Linked DNA regions of Arabidopsis thaliana. The protein of the gene in region 1 purifies or fractionates together with the protein of each later gene. This does not show direct contact. Each region holds a gene or a part of one and is shown in the gene's direction. Other genes may lie near its edges.

The links.
Region 2: the proteins of SKB1 (region 1) and AT2G25355 fractionate together in Arabidopsis thaliana (co-fractionation; one large-scale study listed by BioGRID). This does not show direct contact.

Annotation. Positions count from the first base shown.
Region 1 is NC_003075.7:15,130,167-15,139,585, reverse strand, and holds SKB1 (SHK1 binding protein 1), read left to right. Parts: upstream 1-2,889; 5' UTR 2,890-3,017; coding exon 3,018-3,158; intron 3,159-3,270; coding exon 3,271-3,388; intron 3,389-3,479; coding exon 3,480-3,589; intron 3,590-3,673; coding exon 3,674-3,763; intron 3,764-3,897; coding exon 3,898-3,963; intron 3,964-4,176; coding exon 4,177-4,256; intron 4,257-4,348; coding exon 4,349-4,424; intron 4,425-4,510; coding exon 4,511-4,597; intron 4,598-4,713; coding exon 4,714-4,774; intron 4,775-4,925; coding exon 4,926-5,017; intron 5,018-5,128; coding exon 5,129-5,164; intron 5,165-5,285; coding exon 5,286-5,354; intron 5,355-5,551; coding exon 5,552-5,620; intron 5,621-5,728; coding exon 5,729-5,782; intron 5,783-5,861; coding exon 5,862-5,936; intron 5,937-6,047; coding exon 6,048-6,140; intron 6,141-6,225; coding exon 6,226-6,329; intron 6,330-6,426; coding exon 6,427-6,475; intron 6,476-6,552; coding exon 6,553-6,639; intron 6,640-6,755; and 10 more. Other genes in the region: AT4G31130 (keratin-associated protein (DUF1218)), read left to right, coding at 1,121-1,210, 1,808-2,022, 2,145-2,427; AT4G31115 (DUF1997 family protein, putative (DUF1997)), read right to left, coding at 7,739-7,853, 7,944-8,002, 8,224-8,309, 8,393-8,438, 8,531-8,639, 8,934-9,343.
Region 2 is NC_003071.7:10,798,067-10,805,266, forward strand, and holds AT2G25355 (PNAS-3-like protein), read left to right. Parts: upstream 1-3,024; 5' UTR 3,025-3,324; coding exon 3,325-3,375; intron 3,376-3,467; coding exon 3,468-3,542; intron 3,543-3,783; coding exon 3,784-3,870; intron 3,871-4,066; coding exon 4,067-4,123; intron 4,124-4,467; coding exon 4,468-4,560; intron 4,561-4,871; coding exon 4,872-4,944; intron 4,945-5,063; coding exon 5,064-5,139; intron 5,140-5,228; coding exon 5,229-5,319; intron 5,320-5,402; coding exon 5,403-5,525; 3' UTR 5,526-5,656; downstream 5,657-7,200. Other genes in the region: AT2G25350 (Phox (PX) domain-containing protein), read left to right, coding at 42-140, 258-344, 524-632, 762-1,522, 1,640-1,804, 1,925-2,167, 2,291-2,632; AT2G25360 (RING/U-box superfamily protein), read left to right, coding at 6,183-6,272, 6,439-7,163.

The DNA of each region.
Region 1 (9,419 bases):
GCATCAATGAGATGAAATTAATTCAGATGATAAAGGGAAGTGATAAGGACAAGTAAAGCTGGAGGGGTAGAGGAGAGAGCGTGGCCAATTTTGGTCTTGTATATTTGTTGCTTGGGTGTCACGATCGTTCACCGACCGGATAATGCATCTAGCATCCTGATTCCCTGGTATCGTTCAAATAATACATTTTTATAAAAGCTAAACATGTTGCTATCTTTGTTTTTTTAAATATCCCCATAAGTGTTACCATTTTATAAAGAACAAGTGTTGCAAAGTGTTACAACAGTGAAAGCTTCCGCATACAAAACTCGACAGACTCTTTGGAACATACAACATCAGATTATCTTCAAAGATTCGATAATCCCATTTCTCAAAAGTACTAACTATCCCAGCCAGTCTTTAAGTTCTGCTTCATACGATAATGAACATTTTCAATATGTACTTTCCAAAAAGAAATTCCAATATCATATCCAATTATTCTACTTCCCATATAAAGTATCGCAAGTAATAATATTGGATTCTTGGTAAATCCATCTTAAACTTATTTTTGGTAAATTATATACCTACGTGGGAAGATAATATTTTATACCAAATAATTATACGATCAAGATATATTTTTATTTTGTAAATTATAGTAATATCTATATTCAGAATAAAAAATAATATGAGGAAGTAAATCAGTTGAAAATCTCTATTACGTAGATTTTTTTATAAAGAAAAATAAGATGATGAATACATGTGGAAGAAGATAAATATGGAATCTTTTATTTTTTGGTCAACAGAATCTTGAAGAGCCCAAAACAACAACAACACTCGGAGACTTTTTAGGGCTCATCCCCGAATTATCAGTGCAAGTGGATCGAATTAAACCAAAATCAAAACTAAGCAACCTAACTAACCATATCTTCCGATTTCTCTTATCTCTCTGAAGCCACAAATCTCCAGATTCATTCGTCGTCTCGGTGAGTGTTTTTCTTTTACAGTTCGATTTTTCCGACTCTGTTCGTTGATTCGATTTTCAAATCTGATTTATGTTTTGGGGGAAATCGAATTTGATATCTGTGTGCTCTCGGATATATTATATAGGTTAAGGTTAGACGGAGAAGAAGATACAACAAATATGGCGGTTAGTATGAAACAAATGTCGTTGGTCGTCTCTGCTTTGGGCGTCTTATCCTTTGTTTTGGGAGTTATCGCCGAGAACAAGAAGGTACAAAAAAAAGTCGTCTCCTTTTGATTATTTCGTGAGAAAACTTTAAATTTCCTGTTTGTTTTCGATGATGATTTTTGTTCTTCTTCTTTGTGTTTATCTACTACTACCACATAAACAATTCCTGTTGCTTTTTGGCGCAAGTTAGTTTTTTTTTTGCACAGGAAATAATCACTCTGGAATTGTATGTATCAAACAGTGATCTAACTATGGATGAATCAATTGTTTTGATTTCCTGTTTCTTTAGGATGCTTTGGTTGTTATTTGTGCTATTCTCTGTGAATGGAGGATGTCAAATTTGTTTTAGTCACAGGACTATGACTCTGATATTGTGATATTGTTGGATTGTATGAAAAAATGTGATCTTCTCACAGCTTCATAATTGTATCTAATGATGGGAAACCAATGTGATCTTAACTGACCCGTAGCTAAATCTTACTCTTTCTACACAATTGTTTGACCTCATCATTGTCACTGATCTCTCTAGGATACCGTATGTCAAGAGCTTTTCATAAGTGGGTAAACCACTTCGGCTTTCTTATTCTTATGTGTTACTGATTGTGTGATTTGTTTCTGTTCTTTGTGTTTTCATCTTAGCCTGCGTCTGGGACTCCAATAAGTGGAAAAGGAGTAGTTATCTGCAAATACCCATCTGATCCAACTGTTGCCTTGGGATACCTTTCTGCTGCTTTTCTCCTTGCCTGCACTGTAGCAGGATACAAATCCTTGTTCATCTCTTACAAGGGAAAGTCTGTTCCTAACTCTGTCTTGTTCAAAAGCACCAGCTTCTCTGTGTTCTTCAACATTGCCTTGTAAGCATTTCCTCTTCTTTTCAAGAACACAGTAGCTAGACCATTACAAATATTCTTGGATTCCGGTATTATAAAGCCTAAAAATAGGAGTCTTTTTGTGACCTATGGTTATTGTCGTGTAGGATAACATCTGGACTGGCCTTGTCTCTGTTGCTCTGGCCAACCATTACAGAACAACTTCACTTGACCCGTAATGTTCACCGAAACTTAGAAACCAGTTGCCCCACGGCTAAGACCGGTCTGCTTGGTGGAGGTGCCTTTGTGTCTTTGGACTCGTGCCTTTTCTGGTTGGTTGCTCTGATGCTCGCTGATAACGCCCGTGAAGACCATTTTGATGAAGTTGAAAGCAGAAGCATCGATGGGAACTCTTCCTCCAGGGATGTGAATCTCAAGATTGATGCTTGAGAGAATGATATGCTTTTATTGGTATTGGGTATAAGAAGGGTTTTTCATTTGTTTTCTACTTGTTTGATTAGGAAAATAATAATTTGTTTCTTCTGTTGTTTTTTTTTTTTTTAATGATTGGCTAGAATGTTATGAAACCCATCTCTGCACCTTGATGCATTGTGATTCATAAGCTGTATCTGTGAAAAATAATCTTTTGGTTATATCTCTTACATTTGACATAATTGATATGAGAAAGCACTTCAAATCACACACTATATCAACATTTTTCTTTCTAAGAATATGTAAATATTCACTTGAATTCGGGTGGCTACTAGTAGTCTAGTACTACTATCACAAACCATAAGACTCTTTTATGTCAAAACCAATTAACATGTTTAGAGCCAATGGTTGGAGCTTGGGATGGCATAAATGGGCTAGGTATAGCATATCATAAAGCCCATTAGAAAAGCCCGATATAAACTACAGATCAGTAAAATTAAACCCTGTCAAAAACCCTTTCGTTTTCGTCGTCCGCTCGAGAAAAGAAGATTCACTTCCATCTGCAAATTCCTTCACTCCCTGTGAGCTCAATAGAGAGAGAAGAAGAGATGCCGCTCGGAGAGAGAGGAGGATGGGAGAGGACCGAGTCCAGATACTGCGGCGTTGAGACTGATTTCTCCAACGATGTTACTCATCTTCTCAACTTCAACATTTCCACCGGCGGTTTTGACTATGTTCTCGCTCCTCTGGTTTGTTTCCTTCTTCTTCCTCGACTCTCACGTCCTTGCCTGTTGTTACTGTATCAATTGGGATTTGAAATTTTATATCTTTGACGGAGTTTACTTCTTTCTCTTCCTGCAGGTGGATCCTTCGTATAGGCCGAGCTTGGTGGAAGGAAATGGTGTAGATACTCAGGTTCTTCCAGTCTGTGGCTCTGACTTAGTCTTGTCACCTTCTCAATGGAGCAGTCATGTTGTTGGTATGATTCTATTTGCTTCTCCACCGTGTGATTTTGTACTCGTTATGAATATGATGGGTTTTGATTTGAGTGGTAAATCTTCATTCTCTAGGAAAAATTAGTTCGTGGATTGACTTGGATTCTGAAGATGAGGTCTTACGGATGGATTCAGAAACCACATTGAAGCAAGAAATAGCTTGGGCTACTCATCTCTCCTTACAGGTGCTTGTGCATCTATGGATTTAACTCACTCTCTTTGTTTTCTTGCCTGCAAAGTGATTTTGAAGAGAAATTCTTTTGTTGCAGGCATGCCTTCTTCCCACTCCTAAAGGGAAATCGTGCGCCAATTATGCCAGATGTGTGAACCAGATCTTACAAGGCCTCACTACCTTGCAGGTGGTTTACGAGTTTCTTGCTGCCGGTCTAGCTTTATTTCAGATGAGACTTTTCTTTACAAGATCACCTTCAATCAAGCTCTAACATTTTGTGGATCTTCTTTGTTTTGTTTAAATGTCATTTCTGCGCTGAAGTTATGGCTAAGGGTTCCACTGGTGAAGTCTGAAGGTGATTCAATGGATGATACCTCAGAGGGACTGGTAAGACATTGGATCAAATTTTATGCAAACTTAAGATTGTTAGTACTTTTTGTGCCTTCTCAGATTTTTAAGGGACTCTCTAATGCGGATCCCTTGGAATCACTTGATGTGGCTGCCTTTTAAACCTAGAAATACAAATAAATGTCCCTATCTGTTCACGTTTTTGTACACTTTGTGTGAGGATTACTTTAATATATACTCTCTTCTATGCAGAATGATTCCTGGGAGCTGTGGAATTCGTTTCGTCTTCTTTGTGAGCATGACAGTAAGCTGTCTGTTGCTCTTGATGTTCTGTGAGTTGAGAGAAACTCTTGATTATTGTTGTTAATGTGGACCCAAAGTTTTTTTTCCACTCTACTAACATAACACCATTTTCTTCATATAGGAGTACACTACCCTCTGAAACTTCACTAGGGCGCTGGATGGGAGAGTCTGTGAGAGCAGCCATATTAAGCACTGATGTAAGTGCCTGACTTCTTGCCGCATTATTATAAACTCCACTTTGAAGTATTGCGAATCACAAAATGCCTCTAATTTGGCGTTGCAGGCTTTCTTAACAAATGCTCGGGGTTATCCTTGCTTGTCCAAACGCCACCAAAAGTTAATAGCAGGATTTTTTGATCATGCTGCCCAGGTAACAAACATCCCACTCTTTGTGATATAGAAATAAATTAAAATCTTCTTTTGACTCACAAAAGAGATCTATTAGACTCGATCTGGTGCTCATTATCATCAATCTTGTAAATGCAGGTTGTAATTTGTGGAAAGCCTGTTCATAATCTTCAAAAGCCTCTTGATTCTAGCTCGGAGGGTAATTTTTCTGTATAATCTTTTGTCCTCTGAAAATTAGCTATTATCCTCTGGGCTTGTTTTCCGTAGCTCAATTTATCACGGGCATTGTTATAATCATAGTTGATTCCAAGTTTTGAGCTAAATATTTTATTACGGGCATTGTTTGTCAGGTACAGAGAAGAATCCTCTGCGCATATATTTGGACTATGTTGCTTATCTGTTCCAAAAGATGGAATCACTTTCTGAACAGGAACGCATCGAGGTCGTTTTTTGCATCCTTTTGCCTCAGTCCTTCTATGTTTTTTATCACTAGATGCAAGCTGGCAGATACAACTCTATTCTGACAGTTATCTAAATCTTACTCTTTGTACAGCTGGGTTACAGGGATTTTTTGCAGGCACCCCTGCAGGTTAGCCTCTTTTCATAAGCAATTCTGATTTCTGTCCGTTCATCATGATAATTTACCCTGTATGAAAATGCTCTATTCTTACTGTAAAGAGCCTCTACTGTTTTTTTTTTAATGAATACAGCCTCTTATGGACAACCTCGAAGCCCAAACCTATGAGACGTTTGAGAGAGACTCTGTTAAATACATCCAAGTATGTTGCATATTCTAGTTTTTTCCCCTCACATCTTAAATTTTAACTCCTTTGGTTTCTAGATTTCCCCTCGTCTATTTCTGCTTCGGTTTGCAGAGGAGAGTGGACTGATGGATGAATCATGTTGAACAATTTAATATCATAGCCTGGTTTTTTTTTAAAGCATGCTTAACTTTCGTCCATCTTTGTGTTGTTAGTATCAAAGAGCAGTTGAGAAAGCCTTGGTGGACAGGGTACCTGATGAAAAAGCATCCGAGTTGACTACTGTATGTCATATGTCAATGTTTTGCTTACAAAGTGGCATTTTCATTTATAAGTTTTTTTTCTGCTATTCATATGAAATACTTCAGTAGGACTGAAATTTTAGTTTTTAGGTCCTGATGGTTGTGGGGGCAGGAAGGGGACCCCTTGTGAGGGCATCGTTACAGGTAAAGTCCTGATGCACAAGGAGACATTGAAAATTCATTTGTTTCATTAATCAAATGTGTTCATTGTTTCCTTTACCAGGCAGCTGAAGAAACTGATCGGAAGTTGAAAGTTTATGCCGTGGAAAAGAATCCTAATGCCGTTGTAACACTCCATGTGAGTTGTCAGCACTGAGTCGATTAAAAAATTGCTAATTTTCCTGTGATTTCATTCGGACGTGCAGTGTGGTTTCTAATTAACTCAGAGCATTGTTATTTTTTCTGATAGAATTTGGTTAAGATGGAAGGATGGGAAGACGTTGTTACGATAATATCCTGTGACATGCGTTTTTGGAATGCTCCCGAGCAAGCTGATATATTGGTCAGTATGTACAGATTTTTGTAGCTAATACTCATGCTGACATTATATACAGTTCATCTAATTCTCGTTTGCCTCTTCTATGCAGGTTAGCGAACTGCTGGGTTCTTTTGGAGACAATGAACTTTCTCCTGAGTGTCTTGATGGAGCCCAAAGGTTTCTGAAGCCAGACGGAATTTCAATACCATCCTCGTATGTGTACTCCTTCGCTTAGTTGAAATTTCATAAGAAACTCATCTGTCCTTTTGTTTCTCTAACTGGAGGAGGAACATCGTTATTACTTTTTCAGGTATACAAGTTTCATACAGCCTATAACAGCTTCGAAGCTTTACAATGACGTAGGTTCTTCTGCTTTTTGCTATGTACTCGCAAGAGTTTTCAGATTAACTCAAGTTCTTTTTCATCCATTTGGCAGGTTAAGGCTCATAAAGATCTTGCGCACTTTGAAACTGCTTATGTTGTCAAGCTGCATAGTGTAGCAAAGCTTGCTCCTTCCCAGTCTGTGAGTCTCTCTCTGTCTCCAGCATTTTCTAATAGCTTAAAGTGTTCTCTTTAAATACATTTATGCAAGTCTTGTCGATCTGACCATCTCAGGATTTTTGGTTTGGTCTTAAATAGGTTTTCACATTTACTCATCCAAACTTCTCAACGAAAGTCAACAACCAACGCTATAAGAAGCTTCAGTTCAGTCTACCAAGCGATGCTGGCTCAGCTTTGGTGCATGGTACCTGCTTTTTTCTAGCCCTTTTTTGTTTGTTAATGTCAATTTTACATCTCCATTTCCGTAATCTGAAACTGAATCTACTGCGATCATAATAGGATTCGCTGGCTATTTTGATTCCGTCCTTTATAAAGATGTTCATCTTGGGATCGAGCCTACAACAGCAACACCAAACATGTTCAGCTGGTAATGGATTAATGTCTATAAATGTTTTAAAACAGAGCTTTCTTCTATCGAACCTCTTACTTCAACCGAGAGAAAATCGTGTTCCTTTTGGCAGGTTCCCAATCTTTTTCCCATTGAGGAAGCCTGTGGAGGTTCACCCTGATACTCCATTAGAAGTACACTTTTGGAGGTGTTGTGGTTCCTCAAAGGTAAAAAAAGTTGAAACCACAAGATTCCATACAACTAACTCTTTGTCTAAAGAACTATTATTGATCCTCTGATTTTCGGGTTCAGGTTTGGTATGAATGGTCGGTGTCTTCACCTACTCCATCTCCGATGCATAACACCAATGGCCGTTCGTACTGGGTTGGCCTTTAGGATTAGAGACTTTTGACTGATGACGAAAAAGTTATGTAATCTTATTGTGCTGTATTTTTGTCACAAGAAAGACTAAAGTTTACGAGTGAATCAAATCTCTCTTGACCTTATTTATGTTTGTACTTTTTCAGTAATTTCATTGCACTTTTAATACAAAGCTATCTCTTTCATCTCAAAAGGCCAAAGTATACAAGTGAATCAAATCTATTTTGTTCATTTAATTGTTTGTACTTTTTGCAGTAATTCAGAGCTATCTCTAATACACGCTGTAATCTCAAACGGCCAAAACGACCCAACAAATCCTGCCTCGGCCGTTTGACAAAACATTGGTAATAGATTAAGAAGTTGCGTTTAAGGAGTTCCGTTGCTGTTTTTTAATCCATTCGTCGTAATCTTTAAGTAATTGCTGAAGCAGAAGGGGAACCAGTGTATCGACCAGTGTCTGCATTACTCTGCAATCATCGTATCAAAATATAACATTACTCGGGCACTTCGAGCCAAGAAGCAGAAGAAATGTAAAACGAACAATAATGTACACTTACAGATTCCCAGGAGCCTCAACAGCTGATACTGGAAGCATTGTGAACGGTCGCGTTGAGATCTGCCATGAACAAGGGGGATTTTGATGAACATAGGAAACAAAGCTTTTTCATATACACAAAACCGAAATGAGAATCATAAGTCGACATGACCTATCCACACAATGATGGATCACAGACAACCATCACGGTACAGTGCAGTATTTGATACTCTTAAGGCTAATAGGATTGCACGAGAATGAAGTTATGAAGGAATGAAAGAAACTGAACTGCAATACACTACCTCTAGAGTGACATTCAATCTCACGTCAACTTCCAAAAATGGCTCTGGATGTTCCATGTTCCAAGTCATGCAGTTTGTCATTATTGCTGTGAACCAGAAATGGGAAAACACTTGTATTACTTTTGAAACATTAGATACCAAGTGCTTTTCTTCACAAGAGGAAAGTTACCTGAAAACCTTTCACTTTGGTTCTCCAATAACTCTGATCCTTCCAACTGCAAGACAGTGGTTCAAAACATTTGTCGGTAAAAGGAAAACAATAGAATATATATCTGCTAAATCAGAACGGGAATCTTCATCATTCAACCTTGCAGGAAAGCAGCTCAACTGTACAATCTTCCTGTGTGGGAGTGACCCTTAAAACCAGTACTGGATAAACTTCAAAACTCATTAACTGAACTTTTGGCAATGTACATCTGCACTGTAAGACAAAGATTTACTATCTCCCTTTCCAGATAGAAGGCATATTTCCAAATAATGATGCTAACATATTAGAAAACATCTGACAAGCTTGTGACTGGATATCAATTAGACGAATCTATGTTTATGATTAGAGATACACTCTTCGGATACTTATGCTTTGCAGATATAACAATCAAAGCGATGAAGATCCCAAAACAGATGCAAAGACCATGTATGCCAGACAAGTATGAGAGAAACTTCCAGTGTCCTATGAACATTAATTGATATGAGAGAGTTAAAGAAAGAACCTGTAAGTATCATCACTATCATCAACTAAATGGTAACTCTGCAAAGCCTTTGCGTTGATCACAGCCTCCATGCCAGATGGGTGTTTCAAAAACTCACTGAAAGTCAGCTCCTTTTCTCCATTAATCTCTAGCTTAATTCTCTGCTTCCTCGAAGCAGAGATATTCGCTTTCTTTAAACTAGAAATCACCATTGCTCTTTTGCCACTATGAACATTACCCATATGAATTCTCTCCCTGAAACAGAGCTCCTGACCTATCAAATCCAATAAACCAAAAGAAGAAGATAAACTAAGAAAGTATAAACACCTGGGGATGGTGTTAGGGTAGGATCTAAGCAAACCCAGGAAATTAGATCCAGAGCTTTCTGAAGTCTTCGGAGTTCTCCATCCGTTTCTAATCCCAATATCCATTTTCTCTATCAATCCAAGAATTAAGGAGCCAAAAAAGGGACAAGCAACCTTAAATCTTAAAAGTTGGTTCTGCAAG
Region 2 (7,200 bases), on another chromosome or scaffold:
AGGAACTCTTGCTCGATATATGTGACATTCTTGAGGTACAGTTTTACAGGGTTCAGGTAAGTGTGCAATCTCCAGAAGGTGTTAGCACAATGCGAGGAATTCTGAGGAGATTTAATGATTTTGTAAAGCTTTTAGCTGATGTAAGATTCTCTCAATCTTTCTCAACTCAATGATATTCAACATGATTTGTAGTTGTTTTTGGTCAGTGTGATTCAAACAAGTTAACTGCAATGTGTTTTATGGCATATGATTTACAGCTCAAAAGAGCATTTCCTAGGAAAAGTTTTCCATCAGCTCCTCCTAAAGGATTTTTGCGTGTCAAAAGTAGAGATATGTTAGAAGAGGTATGCATTCTCTTGTGGAGCTATGTTGTTCTTTTCAAATTTTCTCTCTTTCACGCTTTCCTGCTTTTGTGGTTCCTCAATCAAGAACATTTTGACGCAGGTTTCATGTAGAAGTATATGTAAAGTACTGTACTCAAGAATTATATTACACTCATTTTAAAGATGTGGTGTTGTTGCAGAGAAGGTGCTCTCTGGAGGATTGGATGACGAAGTTGTTATCTGATATAGAATTGGCAAGAAGTGTTGTAGTTGCATCCTTCCTCGAACTAGAAGCTACTGCTAGGTCTGGTATGAGCCCATTATAGTATTACAGTTACCGTTTGATAAAGATTCTTAAAGGCAGTTAGTTAATCTATGTTTAAGTAAATGTGCTTAGTCTTTCACTATAATTTAAAGTTGAATTTTTTTTTGTTCCAGCATGCCAAGTTGTAGATCAGAATGCTTCCGATTCCAATGATGATGGAAATAGCACAAGCTTGTCGTCTCTAGTTCACCCAAATTCTGGTGGCAGTTCTTTGCTCTCATCTGACTATGGCAGCGATACTGCTTATGAAACATCTGAGCTCGGATCAGCAAGTTTAGGTCAGGATGATGTTTCTGAAACTGATACTGGAGATCTAACTTTGGATGAAGATCTGACAAATCCAACAGAGAAGCTTGTAAAGTTTAGCATGTCCAACATTGACGAGGGACTGAGTATGAGTCAAACTATTATCGAGCAGCTAGAAGATTTTCCTAAGCACAGAGTCCATTTAGGATATGCCAATGATATCACAGAGACGAATTCGTACAATGGAAAAGCTTCTAAAGGTGTATTTCGAGCAAACAACGACTTACGGTGTCGCTCTGAATCAGAAACTAGTCACTCAGTGATGCATGATCGAAAGCTTTCTCTTGAGAGCGCTGACGGGGTTTCGTTACTAGCCGGTGAGACATCAACCTCTAGTATCTTGAGCTCCATTGTACATAGCCAGCTGGATGTTAATCATGATATATCTGTTGGTAACCTGGAGATACCGGGTAATGGACGAATAGTTCTCCCGCTGAAAATGCATAGTAAATTAAATAGGATTCTATTAACTATGAATGAGAGACTTCTCAATTCAAAAACAGACATGGAGGATCTTATAGCGAGACTAAATCAAGAGACAGCGGTGAAGGAATATCTGAACAGAAAGGTACATGATTGAAAATAATAGTACATCTGTTTTCAAGTTTGTTGGTAATGAAATCTGCGCTTCTTCCTTTACTCTTCATGCGAATGTCATATATGTAATCTTGGTTTTCCTGTTCAGGTTGATGATCTGGAAGTGGAACTTGAAACTACTAAACAGAGAAACAAAGAGAATTTGGAGCAAGCTTTGATGACCGAGAGACAGAGTGTTACCAAGATGCAGTGGGATATGGAAGAACTCAGGCAAAAAACTTTTGAGATGGAACTGAAGTTAAAGTCAAAAGAGGTATTGAAATTTGAAATAGTTCCATCTCAATCACATTCTTTCCACAATTAAGCAAGTTCACATCGAGCGAGTAATTTATATCTAGCAAAGTAACTTACTGACACCTGCAAACTAATACAGGATGGGAGTTCAGATTCTAAGACGTCAGGAAACTCAACAATCTCTGAGAGCCATGAGCTGTTACAAGAAATGGATGCCACAAAACAGCAACTGGAAGATCTTTCTAGACGGTATGTTGAACTGGAGGCAAAATCAAAGGCAGACATAAAAGTGCTTGTCAGAGAGGTCAAATCCCTGAGACGTTCACATATGGAAATGGAAAAGGAACTGACTCGATCGCTGACAGAGAAGTCTGACACTGAGGTAAATCTTAAGCTTGTAAATAAAAAGCATTATATTATTGCTTGCATCATCCGCTTGTGGTAAATGTATATGATCCTACAGAAAGAACATCAAAACATACTGAAACATGTTTAATTTTTTCAGAAACTCCTCCAACAGGAAAGGATAATAGTCGAGAACACGCTAGAAGCAAGAAGAAGGCTGTATAGTGACTGTGAAATTCTCCACGACAGGCTTAAAGTGAACAACACAAACTTGTCAATGGATGAGTCCAGTAACAACAGAGAAGACTTATCTGAAGTATCAAATGCCTTGCAAGATCAGATTGAGGTAAGCTATTGGTGCATCTCCTTTAATATCTGTAGCAAGAAAAATCGTATTCAAATGTTTACATTCGATAACCATGGCTCAAAATCGCCAAGCTGGATTCCTCGTTTTAAATTTGAAAGTGGCATATTTTCAGGCGCAACTGCTGTTAGGGTTTGATGAGACTGCTTCTGAGGATGAGCTGAGGAAGATAATGGCAGATATGTATGAGGACTGAGGAGAATATCAAATTGAGAAAACATTTGAATTCCGCAATGCAGGTTAAGAGCTCTGTGAAAGAGGAAAACGAAAAACGCAGAAGGTGAAGAGCTTATAGAATAGATATACCATGTACAGAGAAAAGTAGAGCAGAAAGTTGGTTAGTGACGTAAATCCCTTATTTTGAATATGCGAGTCAGATTCTTCTTTATGTAATTAATTGATGTATATGCACACACATGTCTACATCAGATCACCTAATCCATTGTAAAATTCGAAACCATCAGTGTCATTGTTTCTTGTTCACCAAAAACAACTACCATCCATCACTCATGGTCCACAGAGCAGTCGTTGAAAATCAGTGAAAGAAGTGTCATTTTGTCCCAAAAAAAAAGGAAGGACGAAGGAGACTTTTTAGTTGACCAAATCATATGGATCTACTAAACCGAAATAAACCACTCATAACCATTATAGTAAATTACTTGGTTCGGAGTTTTTAATTTCCGATCGTCTTCAACATCACCAAAGCAAAAAACTTTAGGGTTTTAGTGTTTTTTAGGGTTCTTCTTTCTCTCTACCTCTCAGTTCTGCTTTTGCTCTGTCTCCCTTCATTGGATAAATCAATTGGTGTTGTTAGCGAAGAAATAAGAAAGATGGGTACTGAAGTTTCTACCTCGCCGACAAGCCTCATTGATCAGACTGTTGTGCGTATTTTCTACTAAAACCTCTGCTTCTTTGATTATCGTTTTAGATTGGGATTACATTGAAAGATTAAGTTTTGTGAGATGGGTTTCAGGTTCCAGGTGATGTTGTTCTCGATTTATCAAACATGACTAACCAAACAATCAAACTCGGCAGTGGTCTCCGTCAGGTTTTTAACTTTCTCAAAATCACTTGTTCCAAATCTTCGATCATTTTTTTGGAGTTTGAAATTTGTTGTGTTGAGTGTATGAATGAATTAATGAATGTTTTGCTCATTATTAAACAAGTTATGTTGAATTTTGGATCTTGCATTGGCATTTGAGGAATAAACTTAATTTGGAATCTACAGTTTGCTTTTTGTTGGGCTTGCAAGGCTAGAAGATTGACATATGATTTTGAGGTTTTTTCAGGATAATGAGGTGATATCTGTTATGAGAGCTGGGAAGTTGAGGTACTCTAAGCCAAATAAGTATTGGGTGGAAAGTTCTCATAAAAGGGTGAGAACTAATTAGTTTCTTGCTGGTTGTATTTTGCAATAAATTGGTACCTTTTTCCTGATATCTCCTAGCTCTACTAGTTATTCGATTGTTCATCTGCGCTTAACTTGTCGAAAAAGTGGTGGTTTTGCTCTCTAGTTTGAAGAATTACTCCATGTTACTCGATTTTGACTCTGTTATTATGTTTTTTTTGCAGTATGTACCTCGTCCTGAGGATCATGTTCTTGGCATTGTGGTAGATTGTAAAGGAGAAGTAAGTACTCTAAAGACGATCCTTAAATTTTTGTTAGAGATCCTTTTCCCTTGGACCCTCTGAATCAAGCATTTTTTCTCTGTATACAGTTCATTTAATGCAAAAATCATGTATAAAGAATATTGATTTCGGTTGTGCTCTATCATTATCCAACTTCTATCATTGCTCAGCTTGTTTGTTAGTTACATGTATATGTTAATAAATACTTGAGATCATGGATAAAGAAAACGGCATAAGCCTTTATTTAGAGTGTTGCCCCTAGAGTTCTCAGCCAAAGTCATGTTGCATGTAACAAAGTAGATCATAATATTTTGAAAATCGTTTTGACACATGTTTCATTGCAGAACTATTGGATAGACATTAAAGGACCACAATTGGCTCTTTTGCCTGTGCTTGCATTTGAAGGAGCAAACAGAAGAAATTATCCCAAGTTTGAGGCAAGTACCTTCTGAATATACTTCTTCAATCTGAACCATCATCAAAATAGTCTCTAGCTGGTAACTGCATTCAGTTGTTTGAGATGTTAGTATTGCCATTACAGTGTATTGAGAATTTCCCTGGAAATTACAATGGCTTGTGTGTGATATTGAAAGGATCCAGTACTTCATTGGTTTGTTTATGAGCATAATAGGCACTTTTACTTCGTCTGGAGTTGAGCTCATCAACTCTATTTCAAGTGGATTCGCTGTATTAAGTGATAACATAGTGATCACGTGTTTTTGGGAGTTGTGACAATTTGTTGATACAGGTAAGCACTCTGCTTTATACTCGGGTTGTGAAGACAAACACAGGAATGAACCCGGAGCTGTCATGTGTAGACGGTTAGTCCATCCATTCTTTTTTCTCACAAAGTTTAAAAAGTTAAATCATTTCCTTGTTTCTCCGCATTAATTGTTTAGACTAAGCAATTGCTGACTAGAATTGTTGGACAATGTAATAGAAAGTGGAAAGGCTGCAGGATTTGGTCCCTTAAAAGATGGTTTCATGTTTGAAACTTCAACTGGTTTATCTAGAATGTGAGTTTCACTCTTATTCCTTTATTTTTCTTCTAGATGAAGTGGCCTCTTCTCGACTTTTTCTCACTCTTACACTTTGTTCTTATTAGGTTGTTGAGTTCACCAACTTGCCCGGTCCTTGAAGCTCTTGGAAAGAAACTCTCGTTTGAGACTGCGTTTGGCTTAAATGGGAGATGTTGGGTAAGAAAAACAGTGATTGCTTCTTAAGAATCCAAACAATGCAACTGGAAATCGCATGGTTAATATCTTCTGTCTGGTTTCAGGTGCATGCGGCTGCTCCTCGTATAGTGATTATCGTCGCCAATGCGTTGATGAATTCTGAAACTTTAAGCGGGACACAACAGAGAATCATGGTAGAGAAATTGCTGGAGAAAATTTCAGACTGAAAAGTGTGTTGTATGCTTAACAGTATCACTACTTTATAAAAGAAACGTTTTAATTCGCATCTCTTTTTTTAGTATGTAGACTACACTCATATGTTTCTCTTTGAGATAAAAACAAACCAAGATTAAAATTTAAAAGAAACAACATGATTCGTCTAACGATAAATTGATAAGTTTTGGGAGATGGATTAGAGGAACTAGGGTTTGGCAATATTAATTGAAAAATCAATCGATACCAATACAATAACAGTTACAAACATTACGGTGCCTTCATAGCAAAGCAATTAATAAGAATTTATTTGACAACTTCTCTCTTATATATAAGTCTTCAGATTTTCCTACTTGAAACCAAAACGACATGGAGAGACGCGATCAAGACTTGAGTTACTAAAAACGGCGACTAGATTCTACCATAACCGGAGATTTCCCAAACCCTAAAGGCGAGGGTTGTTCTACAGTCGTCCTATCCGACTCTGCTGTGAAGAAGTTTTCAGACAATGTCGTCTACAGATTGTACACCAAGGGTTTGGTGGTGGAAGGTAAGGAAAAGACCGTGAAGTCTGGATTAGAGTTGCGATTTGCGATGAGAAGGAGAATTTGTTGTATGAGATTAAAGAATCACTAAGCGACACTAAGATTAGCTGCATAGAAGTAGAGAGCATGGCACTGATTCGTGGGTTAAGAGAATCCTTCGATTTGGGGATCAGACAAGTCGTGGTTTATTGCGATGACCAACTGCTTTACCAATATGTAAGTGTTTTCTCTTCTTTGTTATTGCTTTAGTTTAGTTCTTGAAGTGTGGAAATAGTTAGAGGCCAGATTGGTGATTTTGCATGTTAGAATATACTTTGAATTCTTTGGAATGATGATATAATGTCTTGGTTTTAATGAGAGTGAATTCTGATTTACATTACAGATTGTTGGTCGAGGGAAGATTAAGAAGAAGGTTGTCCATCTTGTGGACGAATTTCAACTTCTTCTAGAAGAGATGACCTATACTGACGCTGATTTGATTGCCCTTAACGATGTTAATTTTGCTTTTAAACTTGCAAGAGAAGCCATAGTTTCAAGGGACGATGTGAAGGCAGAGATATGTAGCATTTGTTTTGAAGAAACCGAGGGCGAGCGCATGTTCTTTACCACGGAAAAATGCGTTCACCGTCATTGCTTTCCTTGTGTGAAACAGTATGTGGAAGTGAAGCTCCTAAGCGGAACTGTGCCCACATGCCTTGATGATGGATGCAAGTTTAAGCTCACCCTTGAAAGCTGTAGCAAGGTTTTGACATTAGAGCTGATTGAGATGTGGAAACAAAAGATGAAAGAGGACTCGATTCCCGCTGCAGAGAGAATCTATTGCCCATATCCAAACTGCTCAATGCTAATGTCCAAAACCGAGCTTTCTAGTGAATCCGACCTATCCAATGACCGTTCTTGTGTCAAATGTTGTGGACTCTTCTGCATTGATTGCAAAGTACCATCACATTCTGATTTGTCGTGTGCTGAGTACAAAAAACTTCACCATGACCCTCTAGTTGATGAGTTGAAGCTAAAGTCTCTAGCAAAGGACAAAAAATGGCGTCAGTGTAAAATGTGTAGGCACATGATCGAACTTTCTCATGCCTGCAACCACATGACTTGCAGGTATATATTTATTTAACTCGATTATTCTACATCATTC